Linked DNA regions of Oreochromis niloticus. The protein of the gene in region 1 interacts with the protein of each later gene in a pairwise test. Links are inferred from orthologs where the notes say so. Each region holds a gene or a part of one and is shown on either strand. Other genes may lie near its edges. The genes, in order: lrrc7 and ribosyldihydronicotinamide dehydrogenase [quinone]-like.

The links.
Region 2: the proteins of lrrc7 (region 1) and ribosyldihydronicotinamide dehydrogenase [quinone]-like interact in a two-hybrid assay, tested with the Homo sapiens proteins (2 studies listed by BioGRID). The two-hybrid records come from large-scale screens. The link is inferred for Oreochromis niloticus from reciprocal best matches to the Homo sapiens genes LRRC7 and NQO2.

The regions. Positions count from the first base shown.
Region 1 is NC_031981.2:32,125,258-32,135,832, reverse strand, and holds the start of lrrc7 (leucine-rich repeat-containing protein 7), read left to right. Parts: upstream 1-5,647; 5' UTR 5,648-6,202; coding exon 6,203-6,227; intron 6,228-10,575.
Region 2 is NC_031973.2:10,523,005-10,533,307, reverse strand, and holds ribosyldihydronicotinamide dehydrogenase [quinone]-like, read left to right. Parts: upstream 1-5,948; 5' UTR 5,949-6,097; coding exon 6,098-6,101; intron 6,102-6,251; coding exon 6,252-6,416; intron 6,417-6,495; coding exon 6,496-6,626; intron 6,627-6,706; coding exon 6,707-6,814; intron 6,815-6,889; coding exon 6,890-6,991; intron 6,992-7,067; coding exon 7,068-7,316; 3' UTR 7,317-7,968; downstream 7,969-10,303. UniProt on the Homo sapiens protein: The enzyme apparently serves as a quinone reductase in connection with conjugation reactions of hydroquinones involved in detoxification pathways as well as in biosynthetic processes such as the vitamin K-dependent gamma-carboxylation of glutamate residues in prothrombin synthesis.

The DNA.
Region 1 (10,575 bases):
TATTTGAAAGCAAGCTTTCTGTAACCTTTCCAAATAACCCTTTGTGAAAACTTGGGTCTAAAATGACTTTTAAATGTTACAGTAAAAATATATATCCAGAGATGCCACTTCAGGTTTTTGACTGCAGTGTTTTATCTTTTACAGTTTTAAAACATTTTGTCTGCAACTGAAGGATGCTTTTCTTGTATTTGCAAACTACAGAGAAGTTCATGTACTCCCTTTTTTTTCTCCTGTTTTAGAAAGTCGGGCTGACATTAAGTAAAAATAAAAAACTGTTAAGAAGACGAATTATATAAAGGGATGCCTATAGGAAGGACTTCCTTGTATGAAGTATCTGACCTTAAGTGGTTTATTTATCCACCTTTTTTGGCTGGAGCTGCTTGACTAGCTTAGCCGCCAGTCTGTGACCATCTGGTAACCACCGGAAAAATGTGTATTCCCTGACTGGATGGTCAGCGTTTGCTGAAGGTTGCTGGCAGTCACTGTGAAACTGATTGCTAGAGCTCCATGCATCTACGCCCGGCGACTGCTCTAGTAACCCTAGTAACAGTGACCCAGGTTACTAGGGCCTCAGAGGTTGCTAGGGAAAAATGTGCGTTTTGAAATGTGTTGGTTTCCTCATCACCGAAGCAATCAAAAAGGACATTTCTGATGCATCTCTTTGGTGACTGATTTCACTTGGTTAAAGCCAGCAACTACTACCAAATGGTGGGGAATCCCAATTTTCCTCTAGTCACCGGAGGTTGCCAGAAGGCTGACAGCTGGTCTATAGGCCTATGTGACTGTGTGAGGTCTTAACTGGACGCTATATACATCCAAAAGTCTTGATAATGTCCTCTTTTATGATCCAGCATGCAGACTGTCAAGATCTACCCCCAGTTTGTGTGATTGATGTCATCCTTCCTCAGGTTTTTGTCTCAGTAGGCCAATTTGTTTTCTTGTGGCCACCATAAACTCAAACATCCTCAACAAGGTGCCACATACTTACTGGACATAGCCTCCTCTAACTTCTCTGTTTTACTGCACATTATTATTCTTCACAGCAACATGGAAGGAAGTCCCTTTGTGTTAAAACAGAGGGACAGATGTGAGGTCAAAGAGATACTTGATACCCAGCTGATGGGCACCCGCCTTGAACAACTTTGGGTGGTTTTAAAACACTTCTCACCTTGTTTTGTAGAGATGGTCAGCACAGTACATTTAAGATATTATTGCCATCTGGCAGCTAAGCAGTATGATCTTGATGTTCCTATTGACAGCTGGACTTGTAAGCAGTGATCTTCACTCCTCTCCAGCGCTCCCATTCTCTATGAAGAAATGGAGCTTGTGTCTCCATCTTACCAATCTCTTTTGTCTGGAGCAAGTATTAACGTCATTTTTTTAAAAGGGAAAAAACCCAAATCATTTCCAGGATGGAACAGCTCACAATGATCACAAGCAATAACTGAAAAAAAGAAATAAAAAAGAAACACGCAGATGAAATAAATGGAAAAATATGAAAATGAATAGAAGCAACTGCAGCAGGCTGCACATACTGTACAGTTAGTGCATGTACACATTTTGTATTATCCATTTTTCATCTGGAGCTTTTTTAGTTTGCTTTGTTCATTTGCTTTTGTAATTGGCTATGTATCCACACCTGATTTTGTTTATAGAGTAGAGAAATTTGAGAGTTGTTATATCATTTTATAGATGTAGAAATTTAAAATGAAACCGTACCCAGTAAGGTCTGATTGATTGCCTCCATTTCTGTTTTTATTATATTTGTCCAATCTATTTGAACTGTTATCAATTTCAGATTATGCAGTGATTCAGATGTGACCCCAGATGTGGTTCCAGATGTGGAACAAGGCTATTAGAGGAGCACTTGTAGTAGTGATGCATTTAGGTTCTGACAGTCAATAGGCCCAAAACTGACTGTTGCTTATCTCTGTGTTTTAAAGGCAATGGTTATTATAACACAACACACTGTATATCTCATGCAACAATTGTGGGACATGCAACAAGCAGTCATGCAACAAGACTGCTGACTTGACAGTTGCCATGACAATCTTTAACACCCTCCTCCCTTCTGAGAGTAAGCCACAGGAGGTCATTCCTGCAAAGGCTGGCTGTTTGCAGAGTGCTGTATGGAAGCATATTGTTGGAATGTTGATGGGAACAACGTCCTGGTAGTAACAGGTGTTCAAGCAACAAAGATAACCAAAGCTTTGAGAGTATTGTCAAGGAAAGTTGACTGAAGAACTTGGGAGAGCTTCAGAAGGAGTGGACTGAGGCCTGGGGGGCCACAACAAACATAGGGCTTCAGGAAAGGTGCTACTGTACAACTGTCAGATTCCTGATATCAAGCCAGGCCTGAGTCACAGACACCGTCAGAAGCATTTATCTGGGAAAAAGCACAAGAACAGGATTTTTACTCAGTGGTTCAAAGTCCTTTGTTCACATAAAACTAAATTTTGTATTTCACTTGGAAATTGAAAATGGGAAACTTCATTGGAAATGAATGTCTAAGAGTACAGACCAAGCGTGGAGAGGCCGGTGTGAAGGTTCGGGGGCCTGTGATGTTTTGGGGTTCTGGTTTTGGTTGTGGTTGGTCCAAAGCTACCCAGCTACTGGGAGATTTTAGTGCACTTCATGCTTCCATCTGCTGACAAAACTTTATGGAGGTGACGATTTTGCTTTTCCAGCAGGCCGTAACACCTCCCCACAGCACCAACATTACGACCAAAGGGTTTGCTGACCATGATATTACTATCAGCAGACAGATATTGCCCTCGAGTGACCTCAACCTAAAAAAAATGAGTTGAAGGTGGCTATCAAAGCAGCCTGGGCTTAAATAACACCTCCGCATTGCCACAAAAGGATCACCTCTATGCCACCATGCACTGATATAGTAATTCATGGTAAAGTACTGCGTTTATAAACAAAAGTACTTTTCTTTTGTATGTGTGTGACTTTCATGAGCTATAAGCCATAACCATCAAAAGGAAACATAGCAAATATTTTGCCATATTTCACTTGTAAGGAGTATATTATACATCAAAGTTTACCTTGTTGTATTAAATAATGCAGAATAAAAATAACATTTTCACATTATTTTTATTTCTTCAGCTGCACGAGTACATATTCAGTGCTTTGAGTCTCAAAAGAGGAGCTGCTCACCATCCCTTCAGCAGTAGACTGTACTGTGTTTTTAAAATGTTTTTCCATTTGTGCTGTCATCCGTGTTCTAAAAGTAGACTTCTTTATTGTAGGATGTCCTCTTTTGAAAACAAAATTATCTAAAAAGCCTCTATATTTGGTGTCTGTTGTTGCCAGGCAACAAAAGACCCTGAACATTTTAAGCTATTTAACCAAATACTTAAAGGACTGACATGGAGTTAAAGTGGATGTGTAATGGGAAGGGAAAAAAGAAGGGCTAGAGAGAGGAAGATGACTAGCTGAGTGACAGGGTGACGGGCTGGCCGGCTTCCTGGTTTCTCGCAGACTGTTGTCAAACTCAGTCGATCTTGGAGAATCCCAGTGCTGCCATCTGGGTTTAACGGGAGCTTCATCCTGGCACTGCCTACTGGTACAGATGGCATAAGGATACTATGTCACTGTTACAGTAGACTTGAGTACAATAGAATGGAGCAGAGCTGCAAAGTCACAGGTCGGTTTAAGTCTTCAAGATTTACTGTATCTATATCTAATTTTTCCAGGGGCCAACATAATTACTCTAATTGTACTACTCCAGTGGTACTTGTTATCATGTTGTCATGACCTCCCACACAAGCAGTCCAGACCTGCAATGTAATTTATTTTACACAGTGTTTAAATTGATCGAAAACACATCCTGACTGTCGCTGATGTTTTGGAAAGAAGCTCCTAGCATTCGGATGATTGGGAAGAAGTATACTGAACTGCTATTAAAACATTCTAACACCCAATATCTAATCTTATTTATTTTACACCATTAAAATGGGTCTAATCTGTTGTATTTGATTATTGAATCCTATTTTATTCATGGATTTGACTTCCAGTAGGGCAGATCTGCAGGTATGAGTGCTCTTCTGCAGTAACATACATACCTCACTCACACAGCTGCACACCTAAAGCTGCCTACTGCAAATGCACTGTGTGATGCTGGTCTCTGAGCAGCCCCGCTGATGCTGTTGAGGGCAATAGAAATAAGGCAGGGACAGCTGCTGTCACCGTCCTTAGGCTAATTTGTCCTGATGTTCCTGTCACAGTCCTGCTTTTCAGATCTCAAACCAGTGCCTCGCTGTGTGGAATGATTTGCAGAGATGTAAAGTCCTGATTTAATCTGGGATTTTGGAAAATGACGATGCTCATCTTTGCTAAGCCGCATGAAACGTGCAGCTGAGGTGTAAAACTGCAGGCAACAGATTACACTTCAGAGTGAAACTCTGAGCTGAGACACAGGCGTACGTACAGGAAGTTTAGCTATTACTTCACTGCCAACCTGTTTGCACTTGTGTTGCCAAGACTGAAGAAAGTGGGCCTTTCTGTAAAGTGGATTTAAGCTCTGCTGAGTGATATTGAAATAAACAAATAGTATTGAATTGGCTCGTGCTGCCTGTGAATGAACTGATTAGACTTAGAAGCCTCAAAACAGCAGCCGACTCAGATGACTACTGAATGTAAGCAGCAGTTTGCACCACACTGAGCTCTGGGTAAGGCTGCTCACTTAGCATCCATCATGTCCTCCACAATGCCAGCAGGGTCCCCGGCTGCTTCCACCACTGCATCACATGTGTGGCTAGTCTTTGATGTTTGTGTGTCTTGTGTCGTGCCACTAAAGGCCAGTGAGTGTGGAGTCATCATTACCAACAGTTGTGCTGTGAAATTAAATAACGAGCAAGCAAGACTAGGTTAAGATTCAATGACAACGTGGCACCTTTGCCTTTCACAGTCAGATTTCACTTTGGATGCTAAAATTATGTTCAGGAGGAGGAGGGACACATTTATCACAGAGGCCAAAGATTTGTGTGTTTTTAGCAGGGTGGGGTCAGATACTGATAATCCTGGTGACTTGTCATATGTAATTTAAAGAAAAAGAGATGCTTGTTTGGAATGCAAATAGTTGCAGTATAACGCACAGCAGATAGCAAGTCATTTATAAATATAAGGACTGATGGATTACTACAGTCTGTTCATATTAACTTCACTAAAGGGCTTAATTGGTTTATCATTCTCTAATATGCCATCAAATCCAGTTATAAATACTACAAGTTGGTGATTGGTGGATTTTAGTCCAGGCTTATTTGGAGGACCTTTATAATTAAGTTAATAAGAATTTTTTTAACAACGTGGCAACTCATAATTGGTTCAAAATGACTTGTAGCGGAACTATAGGGTTAAAAGATAATTTATTAATAGTTAATAAGACATTATTACATCATATCATCCGTTAACAGACATTGCCTTATAAGAGCGTGGCGTTTGTTTAAAATAAACCTTTTCATTGAATATTATCTCTAATCGAAACCGGGCTATTTTTGCTCACTAAAGTAGAAAAAAAATCTCATAGGAAAAGATGGAGGCAGCATGGCAACAGTCTCAGAGACAAGCTCGACTTCACGTGCACGCGCACCTGCACAATGAGATAAAAGACGACTTCTCCTCCTTGCTCTCACAAACTCTCACCCGTGCGCGATTACCGCACACAGGCGCGCACATCCACGCGTCCTCGTTCCATCTTCATCTATCTTTCCTCCCCCCCTCTCTCTTTCTCTCTCTCTCTACGAGGGACGTATGGGAGGGGACGCTCGTGCTGAATGTGTTTTTTCTGCAGCGTGCTTTACGGTACCGGAGAAGAAGAAGGAGAAGCACGCCGCTCCCCTCCGTTGGTCACGGAATCGTTTGGTATTGTGACATTGCGCGCCTGCTTCTTATTTTCTAAATGGACCGAAGGGGATGTGACTGAAAGCAGTGTGTAGTCTGCGCGCGTGTAACCGACTTGGATTTAAACCTGACCCTGAGATGAATCACACTGCCCCGGTTGATGCGCTCATCTCCTCCGTCTTCTGGCTTCGGGGGCACTAAAAATGCGGCTGATAGCGCGGGTACCTGTCCTGGTTTCACACCGGTTCGGTTTGTCCCGATAGACTGATCTCGTCCGGTGCTGCGGTTTCCAAAGGGGCGAGCTGAGTGATTTTTTTTTCTTTCTTAACCGGATCCGTCACCAGTAGCCTGCCAGATGGATAACTACTCTACTTTACAACGTAAGGCGACAGTGAAAGACACATACCTGCTGCCGTAGCCCATTTCATGTTAAGTCTGTGCTAATGATGGAGTTCCCTAAATGAATAACCACATTAATCTGGGGATAGGAAAGACTGCAGCTGAAGTCTGATCTCACTGGATAAAAAAAAAGAAAAAAGAAATAACTTAAATAAATATTAAAATATCCTGTAAATGTCCACAGGAGGGACATTTGATGGTTTTCCCTCATGTTTTGTCATGACCATACATTTATCTTGGGCTGACATCACGTGACAACTTGAATGGCATTTTTCAGAATTTGGTGAGCTTTGCTACTGAGCATCTGAACAGCGGCACTGTACACCGTATTTAATAATTTGGCGCTTAAATGTAGGCACAAATTAAGCCCCTTCATCTTTTCATAGACACCCCCCACCCAGGGCCTTTGAAGCTCCGAGATGAGCTAATGAAACAACCATGACTGCAGGATCAGGGAGAGGTGGGGGTGTGTGGGGGGGATAACATATGATGCAGTGTCACATACCCTCTTGTCTTGACATGTAGCCCCCGGCCCTGCTGCCATTATAACGTCATGCTTTCATATAATGCACCACATTCACACCTGTTAAATCCACCACCTTGAGGTATGCTGTGCTTATTAGACTATCTGCACCATTATTTAGCTGTATCGGTTTGTCATGCTTGTTATGAGCCTGTAATGACAAAGGCTTATTAACCATCTGCCTAAATGGTTTATGGCTGCAGTTATGCACCTGTAGAAGGTTATGGCTTTTTATTAACTGGATCATAATTTTTACAGATACAAGCTCTAATTTGTTGTCCATGTCTCTTCTGTGTGTGTATGTATGTGACTTACAGGGCTGTAAACCAACAAAAAGGGCCCTTTTTCCCTTTTAAAATCAAAGAGAATATTTAATTCCAATCTCAACTGCATCATATTTTAAAGCTCCTCTGTCTTTGTTGCTCCTAAGATGGTTCTATTTATACACTCTTTTTCGACAGGGCTTTGAAGTCGCTGCTCAGTTTGGTGTCATTTTGCAAAAAAAGACTATTATGTGTTCAGCGCTGGTTTCTTTCTTTGGGCACACTGATCACAACAGCTTATATGCTGCATGTGTAATTCTCCAGACATGGAGAGTGATCTGCCACATCTTCAGGATACATGAGATATAGAATACCATGTAGATTTTTTTAAGGACTATAAAGTGATTTTTGAGAGATTGCCTGGTAGAAATGTGTACCAGTAATGGAATCTAATCAAGTACTTTATAGCCATGGATTGTATTTAACACCTGTATGTTGAAGATTACTTTTCAAACAAAACGTTCACTGAGACTTTTGAACACAAACCACTGGACTGATCAATAATTTTCAAGGGAACAATTCACAGGACTCAGTTACTGACAGATGGTTGTAAAACTGATATTTTTTTTCAAATAATAACAAAAAACTGACCTTGCAAACACTTCATAAAGTAGTTCACATCAGTTGATCTGTTATAATAAAACTCACACATTGATGAATCTCTGGTAATCACGTGTATAACCCCTTTTTGCATTTGAATCTTTGCTTTAAGTGCACATTGCTGCTCACACATTTCCTAAATTATCTCATGAATAGATAACAGAACACTTAGAGCAGTTTTCACTGTTTCCCTCTTTGTGGAATTTGTTTTCTCCTTTGAATGATGATCTGCCAGCTGTTAGCAACAGCTAGATTAGTCCAGTATTTAGCAGCTGCGACAGCTTGGTCGATATTGTTTTTACCTTGTGAGTCTGCATCTGTATGTTCGTGTCTTATCACACGAAAATATGGTCCTGGCTACATCTACCATAACAGGAACTACCATTTTGAGTACTTCTGCAGGTGTTTATGTGCCTATCTGTGGACAGGGTTTTTCAAGAATTGGTGTCATAACCCTGCAAGATGCCGTCGTGATAGTTTACAAGTAAGCAGCAGCCATGAAAATCAAGTTCAAAGATGGTTTTAGTTTGACCCGTGGGTAATGATTATTTTAAGAATGCACGGTGTGATGCCAATGCAAGATGGTCAATAGTCAGCAGCTTAATCAGTGGATCTTTTGATTATGGCTTGGTTCTTTAGAGTAATATTTTCAAGTAAACGGGCCAAACATTATCAAATTCCACCTTCTCAGTGTGAGAATGTGCTGCTTTTCATCATCTTATGGAAACAGCTTTTTGGTTTTTAGACTATTGCTTAGGCAAATCTGTGTTTTTATGGCTGTCTGTTACAGCTGAGCCAAAGAATAATCTGTCAGTTGTCGTAATAAATAGCCATCTCATTTATACTGAAAACCCTAATTATTTATTAATGTACTTTATGGTTGGTACTTAATCCCTTGTCTTTGGCATTTGGTGGTTCCCGTTTCTGAGAAATTCTAAAGACAGAAGGTTTTTACATCTGAGCACTTAGTGGTGGTGGAAGTAATAATATTCAGGTAACTGCAATCTTGTCATCATCAGTTTTCCGTATTACTTACATTTAAACCCATCTATAGATGTACTCATTTTGTCAGTCTAAATTAAGCATGCCTAGTACCGAGGCCTCAGATCTAAGAAATGATAAATGCATTAACATTTCCTCTTCAAAGAGCAAACTTGCATACAGATAAAGAAGGATGAGGGGCTCAGTCTTCTACTGCTGCTCCACTTTAGCTCTGACAGGACACTGCTGTTCCTTGCTGCTGCTGCTGCTGCTGATGATGCTGCTGGTTGCCTAGTGACTGTATCCATGGAACCGGCTCCCATCGTCATGGTGATGGGCCAAGGGAGAGAGACCCAGTGAGGGAAGGGGGACAGAGATACCAGTACATCTGCAGTCTGTGCTACGACGATGAGGATGAATTGTGATATCATGAAGGATGATGATGATGAAGACTGTAATGCTCTGATTGCGATATACTGGTGTTTTCAGATGTAGTGATACCACTGAAAAGCATGGAGAGGCTAGTTTAAAGCAGAGAAAATGGTCACGTGGTTGCCAAAATATGAATGATATGTCAAGGCAGTGGCTAAATGTAAAAGCCGTACTGCTATCCATGGATGGTTGGATCGATGGGTAGATGGTCTATAATAGAGTTGCAATAATTATCAGAGCTTAATTAGCAAGATTAACCTCGAACTATATTCTTAATATATTTATTAAGGTAATTTCATAAACAATCATATTATGGCTAGCTGGCTGAGCACATGTTTGCTAGTATTGTTGAAAGGAAATCTTTGTTGTACATTTTTACTTTGTTCCATTAAATTATTTACAGGCGGCTAAAGCATTACTGTTTGATATAGATCTAACAGTATCATTGTATTACAATATACATTGGGTGGTGGAGGATATTTGCCAAGATAGCCATTGAAATGAGATATAATTTTTCTAGTGCTAAGATTAGCAAGCAAGATACAAGCAAGATAGCAGGTTCATCTATCTAGCTGCAACTTAACTACACAGCACAAATCCACTGTTATCCACTTAAGACTTTATTTTGCTTTGTAAGGTAGTTTCCAGTTCATCTGTGTTAGCAGTGATGCTAGCATTAGCTAATATTAGCTAGAAGATAAAATATCTTCTAAAAACAAAGCAATACCACCATGTATCTAATGCCCTGCTTATGTCAGCCGCAGCTTTACCTGATAGCCAACTTCCTGAAGCTCAGAGAGGCTTTGTTAGATAAAACTGGCTACCCTTCTGAGTTATGTTAGTTAACTTTGGCCTAGCTGCTAAGGTGGCTAATGGAGCCAATCGATTTATTGGCAGGTCGATACCATCTGATTAATTATTTGCTGATCTATGTGTATGAATTAATAACGGTCAAAAAGTGAAAAAAGGGCACTCTAGAACTTCCCTGTTGGCAACATGTATTTGGAATGCCACAAACAGGACAACCAGCTGATCCAAACAGCCCGACCGAGTGTAAACAAGAAAATAAAGAACTCCATATAACAAATGTCAGGGAAATGCTTACGTTTTGTGTGTCCGAAACAAAACATATACAGAAATACCAGAGTTTTAAATCACCAAATATCAGACTGTATCAGTATCGGCCTTAAAAATCCTAAATCGGTCAGGCTCTAGCAGATAATTTGCTTGATACCTATAGCCAGTATACAAGATACATTCTGTGTCTGAAAAGTGAAGCCAGCTTAGACGAGACTTACACCAGCGCTCTTTTTAAATGCTACCAGCGACTGACAGCTGTGATTGCAAAAAGCCTTTGGGTCCTATAGAAATGTATGGCAAGTCAGCCCTTGCATCTGACCTCAGTAAATACTTTTGTGATAAGTGTAAGGGCTCAGTGACTTGTTTTGTGTTATAGTAAATAATAAAATT
Region 2 (10,303 bases), on another chromosome or scaffold:
TACAAAAACATCACTGAAACCAGCTCCAAGTTACTGAATGCTTCTTCCGCTTTCTTCTTTGTAGATGCAACACTACATTTTGACTTAAGGCATTTTAGGCAATTCCTATTTCTCAAAGAATTCATACATCTTACATATTTCAAACTTTTAAGTTAGGAAAAACTTTGCATTGCTTATAGCTCATAGCTCACAGCTCTAAAACTCGTCATTGTTAAATCATGTGCCTAATCATTATGTGTCACTGTGATCCACAAGTATGATCACAAATTTGTTTTCCAAACTTACAAAACAAACAAACAAAAACAAAAACAAATTGCCTATGGCATCAAGGCTTTGCGTTCATATTAATTGAGTGTAAGCTGCATTCTTCATTGCAAGTGTTTATTGCCATAAGGTTTAATTCATGCATCATATCACTGAGTTCTAAGTTCAAACTATCTCTTCTGACCCTTTCCAGAAATAATTTCACATATAACAATTTGAGTATGTGTTGTCTATTCATTCTATTCATAGAGTCTATTCATAGAGTCTATTCATAGAGTTCTGTTTCTCTCTGTGAGCTGTCTTGACACACCACAGGCACACATATATATTTATACATATTTCCTGTTTCTGCAGACTAATCGAACTCTTTTGTTTTTCTTTGTATTCATAGTCTATAAACCCTCTTTAATTCTACTAAATCTTGATCTAAAACCAACACACCTTTATTTCACACACACTTTTTAAATTGAGCTCTTTCAGACATCAGGAATCATCACACACACTGCCTTTTTCTCTCAAACTGCCACTTGTTCACACACTCTACTATGAACCTTTGTAGCGTTATTATTACTTATGTTTTATTATTTTTTGTACAAATCACACCCAATCACTCAAAACCTACTACTCACAGCATTTACACAGTTAAAATCACTCAAAATATGCTTTCATACGAGTATTTCAGACATGCTTTTCAAGATATATAGAGGTCACTCACTGTACATCCACAGTACTGAATTCAAACTCTATTTATACGATTGTAGTGAGCAAAACCAGCATCTCCATGCGTGTCACCGCTCCTCATTAGCTTGGTAGTGTCCACATATTTAATTCAGTTTCTCATTAGTTGTTAGTATAGGTTTGCTCTTCATCCTAACAAAGTCTCATCTAAGATGACAGGTTTACAAGCAGGTCAAGTGTCTCTATGCACCTGATTAGTGTAGTTAATTCCTTATTTTCTTCATCTCATATATCATCATTGTACTGAGTTTGAGCAAACCTTGAGCTTGAATCAGACTACTTTTAACAATCATTCACCTCATATCATAACTGACTGAGGTGCCTCTTCCTACTAATAGTATATCATTATTAATATTATCATTGTATTGTTTTTCCTTTTTTATAACAGCAAGAGTATATTACAATACACTACTTCACTACTTTACTACTAATATACAATAGTATATTAGTTTATATTTTATTATGTATCCATCACGGGTCTGTGTGAATCTGCAGCTTCACACCTTCCCAAGCTGGAGACATTTTCCTTGGCTGAACAATGACACAGCCTTAATATACCTTATGCATACCCCAACCGGTCGCAGCAGATGGCCGCCCCTCCCTGAGCCTGGTTCTGCCGGAGGTTTCTTCCTGTTAAAAGGGAGTTTTTCCTTCCCACTGTCGCCAAAGTGCTTGCTCATAGGGGGTCATATGATTGTTGGGTTTTTCTCTGTATTTATTATTGTGCTATCTACTGTACAATATAAAGCGCCTTGAGGCGACTTTTGTTGTGATTTGGCGCTATATAAATAAAATTGAATTGAATTGAATTGAATCTCTCTTTTTTATTTGATATATTTTGTGTGAATTATCTGGTTTCACGCATTCTATTCATTCAGCTTGGTTGTCTTCCCAATTTTGTTTCATTGTTAATACCAGTTTACAGGTTGTTAACCTTCCTATTATCTCCTATTATCATGCTTATCACTAGATAAGCTTTGCTTTAATTTAAGTTAACCTTAATTTAACCTTTTGTTTATTCCACTTCATTCCACTTTCCATGCTTTAAAATGTTACAACTCTTGTGTATGCTTTGATTTCTTTTTAGCTTCCTTTTCAGTATTTATTTCTGCTTGGAGGGTTTCTTATAATTTAGTTAATGCATTTTCCCTCCCACGTGGGACATTTAGTTTTCTTTGGATTTCTCCATCTATATGCACTAATTTGTCCGGCGCCTGGACATTTCTTTTCTAACCACTGCTCGTCAGCAGTGAGTTACCCATTTTAATCCTCTTATTTTTAATTTTAATACTTTACAACTACACAACTGCGGCACCTTCTCTGGCACGAGAATCGAGAGAGGTAGTTGACACGGCCTTCTACTTTCAAGCTATTCTTGAAAGCGGTGTCAACACGACCTGTTTCTCTCTTTTCACCAGTACTTGGGTGGCCAACAGCAAACAAAACAGTGGAATAGTTCAGCCTCCTTATTGTGCTGTAAAATCAACAAATCAACTTATTCCACCAACAAAAACAAAACAACAACAATACCTTTTCAACGCGTGCTACGTCTTACGGACCAGGTTTATCTAAAATAGCTTCTAGCCCCTTTTTCAGGCGAGCGTTTACTTTTAGGAATGCTACCAGCCCCTCTGGGCGAGCCGAGCCTAGACGTTTTACGCGAGGTGTCTGAGTGTTAATATTCACCTGGTTGCTGATTCACTGCCGGTCTCTCAGGTTTACCTCATCGACCCCCACCGCCGTGGACCACTTATAAGAACGCTGGCCAGAACCCGAATGTCACGTCTCTGGACTTTATATCCTCTACCTAGAGAGGAGCTGTCAACAGACTTCAGCGCGGGCTTCTCACGACGTCAGGGCTCGATGAGGTTTTCCTGTGGGGTCACACAAAAGTGCTGTGTCCCATCCGGCTCGAAGGACCAAGAAATGTCAGGAGTTTTCCTGTTATGCAACTCAGGTCGGAATAAAACGCTCAGACAGGTTTAACGTGTACACGGTCGAGGCTCAGGGAGACTCGCACTGTGCAATAAAAAGAAAGAGTCTTTATTCAGAGAGCACATACAGGAAGAGAGAAAATAGAACTGCAGGCTTCCTGTGTAACTTCCCCATTTAGGAGTCTGCACAGAGTTGCAGAGTTTAAGCTGAATACTGAAAAGAGCAAACACATTTAGATAATGAAACGTACTTTTAAGCATAACATAATAAAAATCCCAAAATCCTAAAAAATCTCTTAACATAGCTTATAAGCCTTAGCTCACATCCTTTGTCTCTGTTATTCCTACAAGCTGTCAGCCTAAAAACATTAGATCCAGTGATGTTTGTTTGGATATGGAAAGTAAGAGAAAACAGAAATTAAATGCCAGTTTACACTTAGTTCTTTAGTTTGACTAAGGAGCTTGGAAAGTAAATACTTTAATTTTCATGAAGGTGTTTCACCTCTCATCTGAGAGGCTTTTTCTGTTTTTAAATCAAATGGTGGAAAATCACAGCTATTTAAACCATAATGAGAGTTGACTCCTCTTTAGTTTGTTCTTTACCTCATGAGAAATGCTCATGACAAAGAAAATCATGTAGGCAGCTGCAACCGATATCAAAAGTATTTACTTCTTTTTTTTCAAAGATAACCACAATTCATTCAGGAGAGAAGATGTCAGTGGCAGGACTAGAAAATGTTTTCCGAAGTAAACCAGTTCATGTGTCCAACCTCTGAGCTTTTCCCTGCCACCTGTTAGTCCTGCAAATCCATCACATGAGAATCTAGCAAGATTTAGCCAATCATGTGCTCCTCCACTACCAAGAACTGTAGAAGCCAATCATCTCCCACTGCACCTACTAGGATTTGACCAATCATTGTTATGACTACCAAGAATGCCGCCAGGATTTGCTCCCCAAATACAGGTAGATCCTGATTGGCATCAATACTGTAATTAAGTCTGTTAAAGTTTATAGTATAAAAACATTGAGAAGTATTGAAATTATTTTTTCCCATACACCTATTGAATGAAGGGAGAAAGGAATAAATGCTGTGTGCATGTGCTCCAGTGGCGCAATCGGTTAGCGCGCGGTACTTATATGACAGTATTGGGCTGAGCAATGCCGAGGTTGTGAGTTCAAGCCTCACCTGGAGCACAAACTTTGAGCTAATGTTTATCTGCCAAGACCAGATAAATACTGAGCACACTAAAAATGCCAAACAATTTTCTAGTCTCTTTAAAAATGAGCAACATGCAAAATAAACATTAAGAAAACCAGAATTATACCTCTGTATGTTTGTCCTGCTAGTTTTGTTTCTGTTTATTTTCAATGGGAGCTGTTAACCATCGAGATAGGGACATTCTTCCAAAGTCAGAGAAATTTGGCTGTGTGTGTATGTGTGTGTACCTTTTATGTCCTTATGTATAGTTTATACCAATGATTCCCACACTGCAGGGCGTAAGGCAAGTCATTGGTTCGCCAAGTTGGGCAACAATCACCATGGGAAAATGATGTCTGTGAAACTGAGATGATTATGATTAGATGAGGTATATATTAATCTTGTGTTTAAACTGGGCTGAAGGTTTAGGTTAATCTCAAGAGTTTCCATACAAAATGAGAAACCTGAGAGAAATTCTTCTTCTACTTCTTTATAGGGTTTATTGGCAGTTGGCTGTGTTGTTCTCATTGTACATGCTACCTTTGGTCTATATTTGACAAATATAACATTTCTTTTCATTTTTATGCTGATGGTATTCAAATCTATTTTTGTCTGACTGACGATACCACGTCTTCACTACGCTGTTTTCTTGATTGTATGAGGGAGATCAAAGGCTGGTTATCGAGTAACTCCCTTTTTCTAAATGAAAAGAAAACAGAAATTATTGTCTTTGATAGCCACATCCCTCGGGGACAATTAGCTGATATATTTGGGCCCTTCGCTACCTCCCTCTTTGATACAGTACGTAACTTAGGTGTGCTTTTGGACAGCTCCTTTAAACAAGTGTCTTCTGTAGTACAGTCTAGCTTTTACCAACTACGACAAATATCTAAGGCTAAGCATTAAATACCACGAATGGATCTTGAAAAACTTACACATACATTTATTACTTCAAGATTAGACTACTGCAACTCCCTTTATCTGGGCCTCCAATCTGCCCTTCTTCATAAACTACAACTTGTCCAAAATGCAGCGGCACGCCTTTTAACTGGTACTAGAAGGTTTGATTCTATTACCCCGATCCTTGCTGACCTACATTGGCTGCCCATGAAATATCGGATTGATTTTAAGATTTTATTGCTTTCATTCAAAATCGTAAATAATATTGCGCCTTGCTATTTAACTGAACTTCTCAGCCTGTAAACTCATAGGAGAGCACTTCGATCATCGAGTCAAATGCTCTTGGTGCAACCTAGGTCCCGGCTGAAAACCAGAGGTGATCGTGCCTTTGCCATTGCTGCACCTAACCTCTGGAACAGTCTTCCAGCTGATATTCGCGCGTCGGAATCTATTCAATCTTTTAAAACAAGATTGAAAACTTATTTATTTGAGCTTGCATTTTAGATTAGTTAGTGATTTATTGGATGTACACTTTGTACTTTTATTGCATTTTTTTGTAATTTTAACCTATTGTGTTAGTGGGTTTTTCCAGTTGATATTTCTGTGTTGATTTTACCTAACTTTTACACGAGGTGTGAAATATTTCTTTTAACATAGTACTCACGGGTTAAGTGGTGCTTTTTTTTGTCTGGAAATGTATTTCTACTCTACTATAGTACCCATATGTAATTAATTTTATTTCATATTTTACTACTGAGAAGCACTTTGGTGTACCTCTGGTCTTTAAATGTGCTATATAAATAAAGTATTGATTGATACTTATTGATTGGCAAACAGCAAAATGGTGCATTACTGCCACCAACTGGTCTGAGAGAAATTACCCCAGTACCAGCTGGCTGACTCATGAGGTTTATTGCTGATTGACAGCACCTGTGTGAAGTAGTGCTTGAAGTGTGTATAAAAGCAGCAGACTGTGTTTTGCTCCAGTATAGACATATTTTTCTGTTGTTATACCAGCTAGACAGAAAACTCACAATTTACTATTGTGCACCAGTTTTGAGAATGGGTAAGAATTTTTCTTCCTAGTAATTGCTAAAACTTGTTTGGCCAAAGCTGATAATCTTTGACAAGAAGAGTGAAAGGTTTCTGTGCTGACTGGAACTTTATCAAAACTTGTATTATTTTTTTTTTTTTAATTTATTTTTTGGCTTTTCAGCCAAGAAGGTGCTGATTGTGTATGCCCATGAGAGCCCTGCCTCTTTCAATGCTGCTGCCAAAGATGCTGCTGTGGCAGCTCTGACTGCTCAAGGCTGCACTGTAGAGGTGTCTGACCTGTACGCCATGAAGTTCAAAGCTGCTGCTACTACTGAGGACATCACTGGTATACAAATATCCTGCAGGTATAGCAATGCTTTGGCTTTGATTGTTCTTCAGATACAAAGACTGGATTTTTGTCACAGGTGGAGTGAAGAATGCTGAGAACTTCTGCTACGCAAAGGAGATCAAACTGGCATCAGAGGAGGGCAGACTTGCAGATGACATCAAAAAAGAGCAGGAGAAGCTCAAGGAGGCAGACCTTGTCATCTTTCAGGTAGTGTCTGACTAGAAATGTCTTTGTGATCGGCTGACAGGTGTCCACATTAAAAATGACCATTAAACCTGTGTTCCCAGTTCCCCATGTACTGGTCATCTGTTCCTGCAATCATGAAGGGGTGGATGGATAGGGTGTTGGGCTTTGCCTACGCACAGGAGAAGCGGTACAGTGAGGGGCTCTTCAAGGTGAGAGCTCCACCAACGTGTGTGTGTTCAGGCTGTGTCCTCTCCCTCTTTGCTCACTCCTTGCTCTCTGTGCAGGGCAAGAAAGCCATGCTGTCCTTCACCACTGACTGTCCTGAATCTGTGTACAGTGACACTGGCATCAATGGTGACATCAATGTCACACTGTGGCCGCTGCAGGTGAGGTCTCACTATAAACAGAGCCAAGCATTAAATGATCTGTCATGTGGTAACAGCTGCTCCTCCCTGTGTGCAGAACGGGATCCTGAACTACTGCGGCTTCCAGGTTTTTGACCCTCAGATCTTCTGGGATCCTGCTACTGGTTCTCCTGAATCTCGCAGGTCCATGCTGGAGGGCTGGCGCACACGACTGCAAACCCTCGGTGGGGAAGTACCTGTGTACTTTGCTCCCTTGGACTACTTTGACAAGGAGAAGGGTTTCCTGCTGAAGCCTGAGGTCAAAGAGAAATATGCCACAGCGGGAAGGCTATGTTCTACATGCTAATGCAAATCCCTATTCTGATAAGAACGTGTGTTTGGGGGGGGGGGGGGCGACCGTACACAAAGGTTGAAAGCAAGCCCAAAAAGACTTACAACAGACTGCTACTGCAGATCAGGTGACTGCAAGCCTCATTGCTCCTCACTGCCTATGCTACAGGCTTTGGCTCGGTTTGGCATGAACGCAGCTTTAAGATCTCGCTTTTAGCAGTATGTGTTCTTTCCGTCCTAGTGGAGTTTACTCTTTACCATTGCCTTTTTGTGAGGTAAAAATGTGTATCGCCACTGTGGGCTCATCCACGATTTTCCTCCTCCTACACATGAACTTAAATCAGCTGACTGTGGTGCGAGTGCACAGGAAGAGTAAAGCATGTGTAATATTTAAAGATTTTGTTTTTCCTTTTCCAATATTTGTTCTGAAGGCTTTTCAGCATTTCTATTCACCTGGCATGCAAATAACTGAAAAACCTTTAGGATCTAATGACACTACTGTTTATTTAATTTAGTATAACAGTGTTACTACTTCTTCATCACTGCACAAACTAAGATCATTACAGGAACATGTTGCATTGTCAAGCGTTACACCTAATGCTGAACATCTGTAAGTCATATATTACTGAGCACTGGTTAAATAAAAACATTTGCAACACAATAGAAAACATGTCCTAAGTACGTCAGTTCATGGTTCTAACCTCTGAGCTGCTCCCTGCCACCGGTTAGTCAAGCAAATCCATCATGTGAGAGCCAATAGCTTTACTTATCTACCAAATTCAAGAGTTATCCAATCATGTGCTCCTCCACTACCAAGAACTGTAGAAGCCAATCACCTCTCGCTGCACCTACCAGGATTTGACCAATCATTGTTATGGCTAGCAAGTACGCTGCAAGGATTTGCTCCCCAAATATAGTGAGATCCAGATTGGCATCACTACTGTAATTAAGTCTGTCAAAGTTTATAGTCTAAAAACATTGAGAAGTATTGAAACGATGGGCTTTTCCTGCAGTGGCAGCAAGCTAACTGTACTGAAGGCTAATCAACATTTATGTCGTTAACTTAGCTACTTTTTAAAAAGTAGGAGCCAAGGAAGTCAGAATAGCAAATTTAAATGCATGAAAGTTGATCAAATAGTACAGTTAACTGCTTCTAAAACATTACTGGGAAATAGTATAACAGAGAGGCAAATTTTATTTGAGGCAAAGCACATTTATATGAAAAGAAGTAGACACAGACTTCATGAAAACTGCAGTTTTCATTCATTTAATTTAGTTTTGCTAAATGGAAGTTCATGATATTGCGGTAGAATACAGGGATACAGAGTCTTTATTGCCACATGGTTCAATTCTTTATCCATTAGTTCCATATCTATTAGGTAAAATACACAAAACTACGAAAATTAAAGAATAAAAGTGAAATATGAAAAAAGGGAAACAGAAATGATCTGAAACAAATGTGTACTGACTGAAAAAAAAAAACATTTGTAACATAGATGTATAGAAAAAAAGACTGATTTCCCACATATATTAATGGATGCTGTAACAACCCTTATTGTATTATAGCACCACTAAAGGGGGTGCCCTACTATTGTAGTAGTTGGGGGAGTCCCCTAGTGGGTGTGGGAGTATAGCGGTGGCCGTTACATGCTGCTCGCGTCGCTGTTCAGAGAAACCTTGTAACGGGCTGGCGCCGGCGACTACCGATCCCGCACGTGTATGTATAGACAGAGTAGAGACGTGGAGACCTGGCTTGTATGGTCTTATGTTCAAATAAAGGTCTGTTGTTCGATTTAACTGACTGGCTCCGAGTTGTCCGGCTAACCTCCACACCACATGCCCGCTGGACCTGCTAGCCACTACTTCTTCGCCAGACTGCGGTTACAATGCATCTATCGATTAATCCTATATATAGTCATAGACTACAAGCATGAGATTTGTTGAAATATAATAGAGTGTAAAGCGTTTGTTCTATAAGTGACTGACCCCCCTCCCCCTTAGATCAGTTGAGTGAACTGAGAAAGGAATAAAGGCTTTGCACATGTGCTCTAGTCGCGCAATCGGTTAGCGCGCGGTACTTATATGACAGTATTGGGCTGAGCAATGCCGAGGTTGTGAGTTCAAGCCTCACCTGGAGCAGAGACTTGAGCTAATATTTAACTTCTGAGAACAGATAAATGCCAAGCCAACATTTGAAGATACTTTGAAAGCATCATAAAAAATGAGCAACATTCAAAATAAAGGTTAACAAACTCAGAATTATATCTTTCTTCTGCTACTTTTTTGTCAACCAATAGTTTTTCCTTCAAGGTCAAAGAATTTTGGCTGTTTGTGTGTGTATGTGTGTGTACCTTTTATGTCCTTATGTATAGTTTATACCAATGATTCCCACACTGCAGGGCGTAAGGAAAATCATTGGTTCGCCAAGTTGGCCAACAATCACCATGGGAAAATGATGTGTGTGAAACTCAGATGATTATGATTATATGAGGTATATATTCCTCTTGTGTTTAAACTGGGCTGAAGGTTTAGGTTAATCTCAAGAGTTTCTTCCACCAGTTTCCATACAAAATGGGAAACCTGAGAGATTTTACCCCAGTACCAGCTGGCTGAGTCATGAGACTGATTGCTGATTGACAGCACCTGTGTGAAGTAGTGCTTGAAGTGAGTATAAAAGCAGCAGACTGTGTTTTTGCTTCAATATGAGTAGTTTTTTCTTTTACTACATTAGTTAGTCAGAAAACTCATCATTTACTATTGTGTGCCAGTTTTGAGAATGGGTAAGATTTTTTTCTTCCTGGTAACTGCTGAAATCTGTTTGGCCAAAGCTGATAGTCTTTGACAAGAAGAGTGAAAGGTTTGTACGATGACTAGAACTTTATCAGAACTTCTATTTTTTTAAATTTAATTTTTGATTATGCAGCTAAGAAAGTGCTGATTGTGTATGCCCATGAGAGCCCTGCCTCCTTCAATGCTGCTGCCAAAGATGCTGCTGTGGCAGCT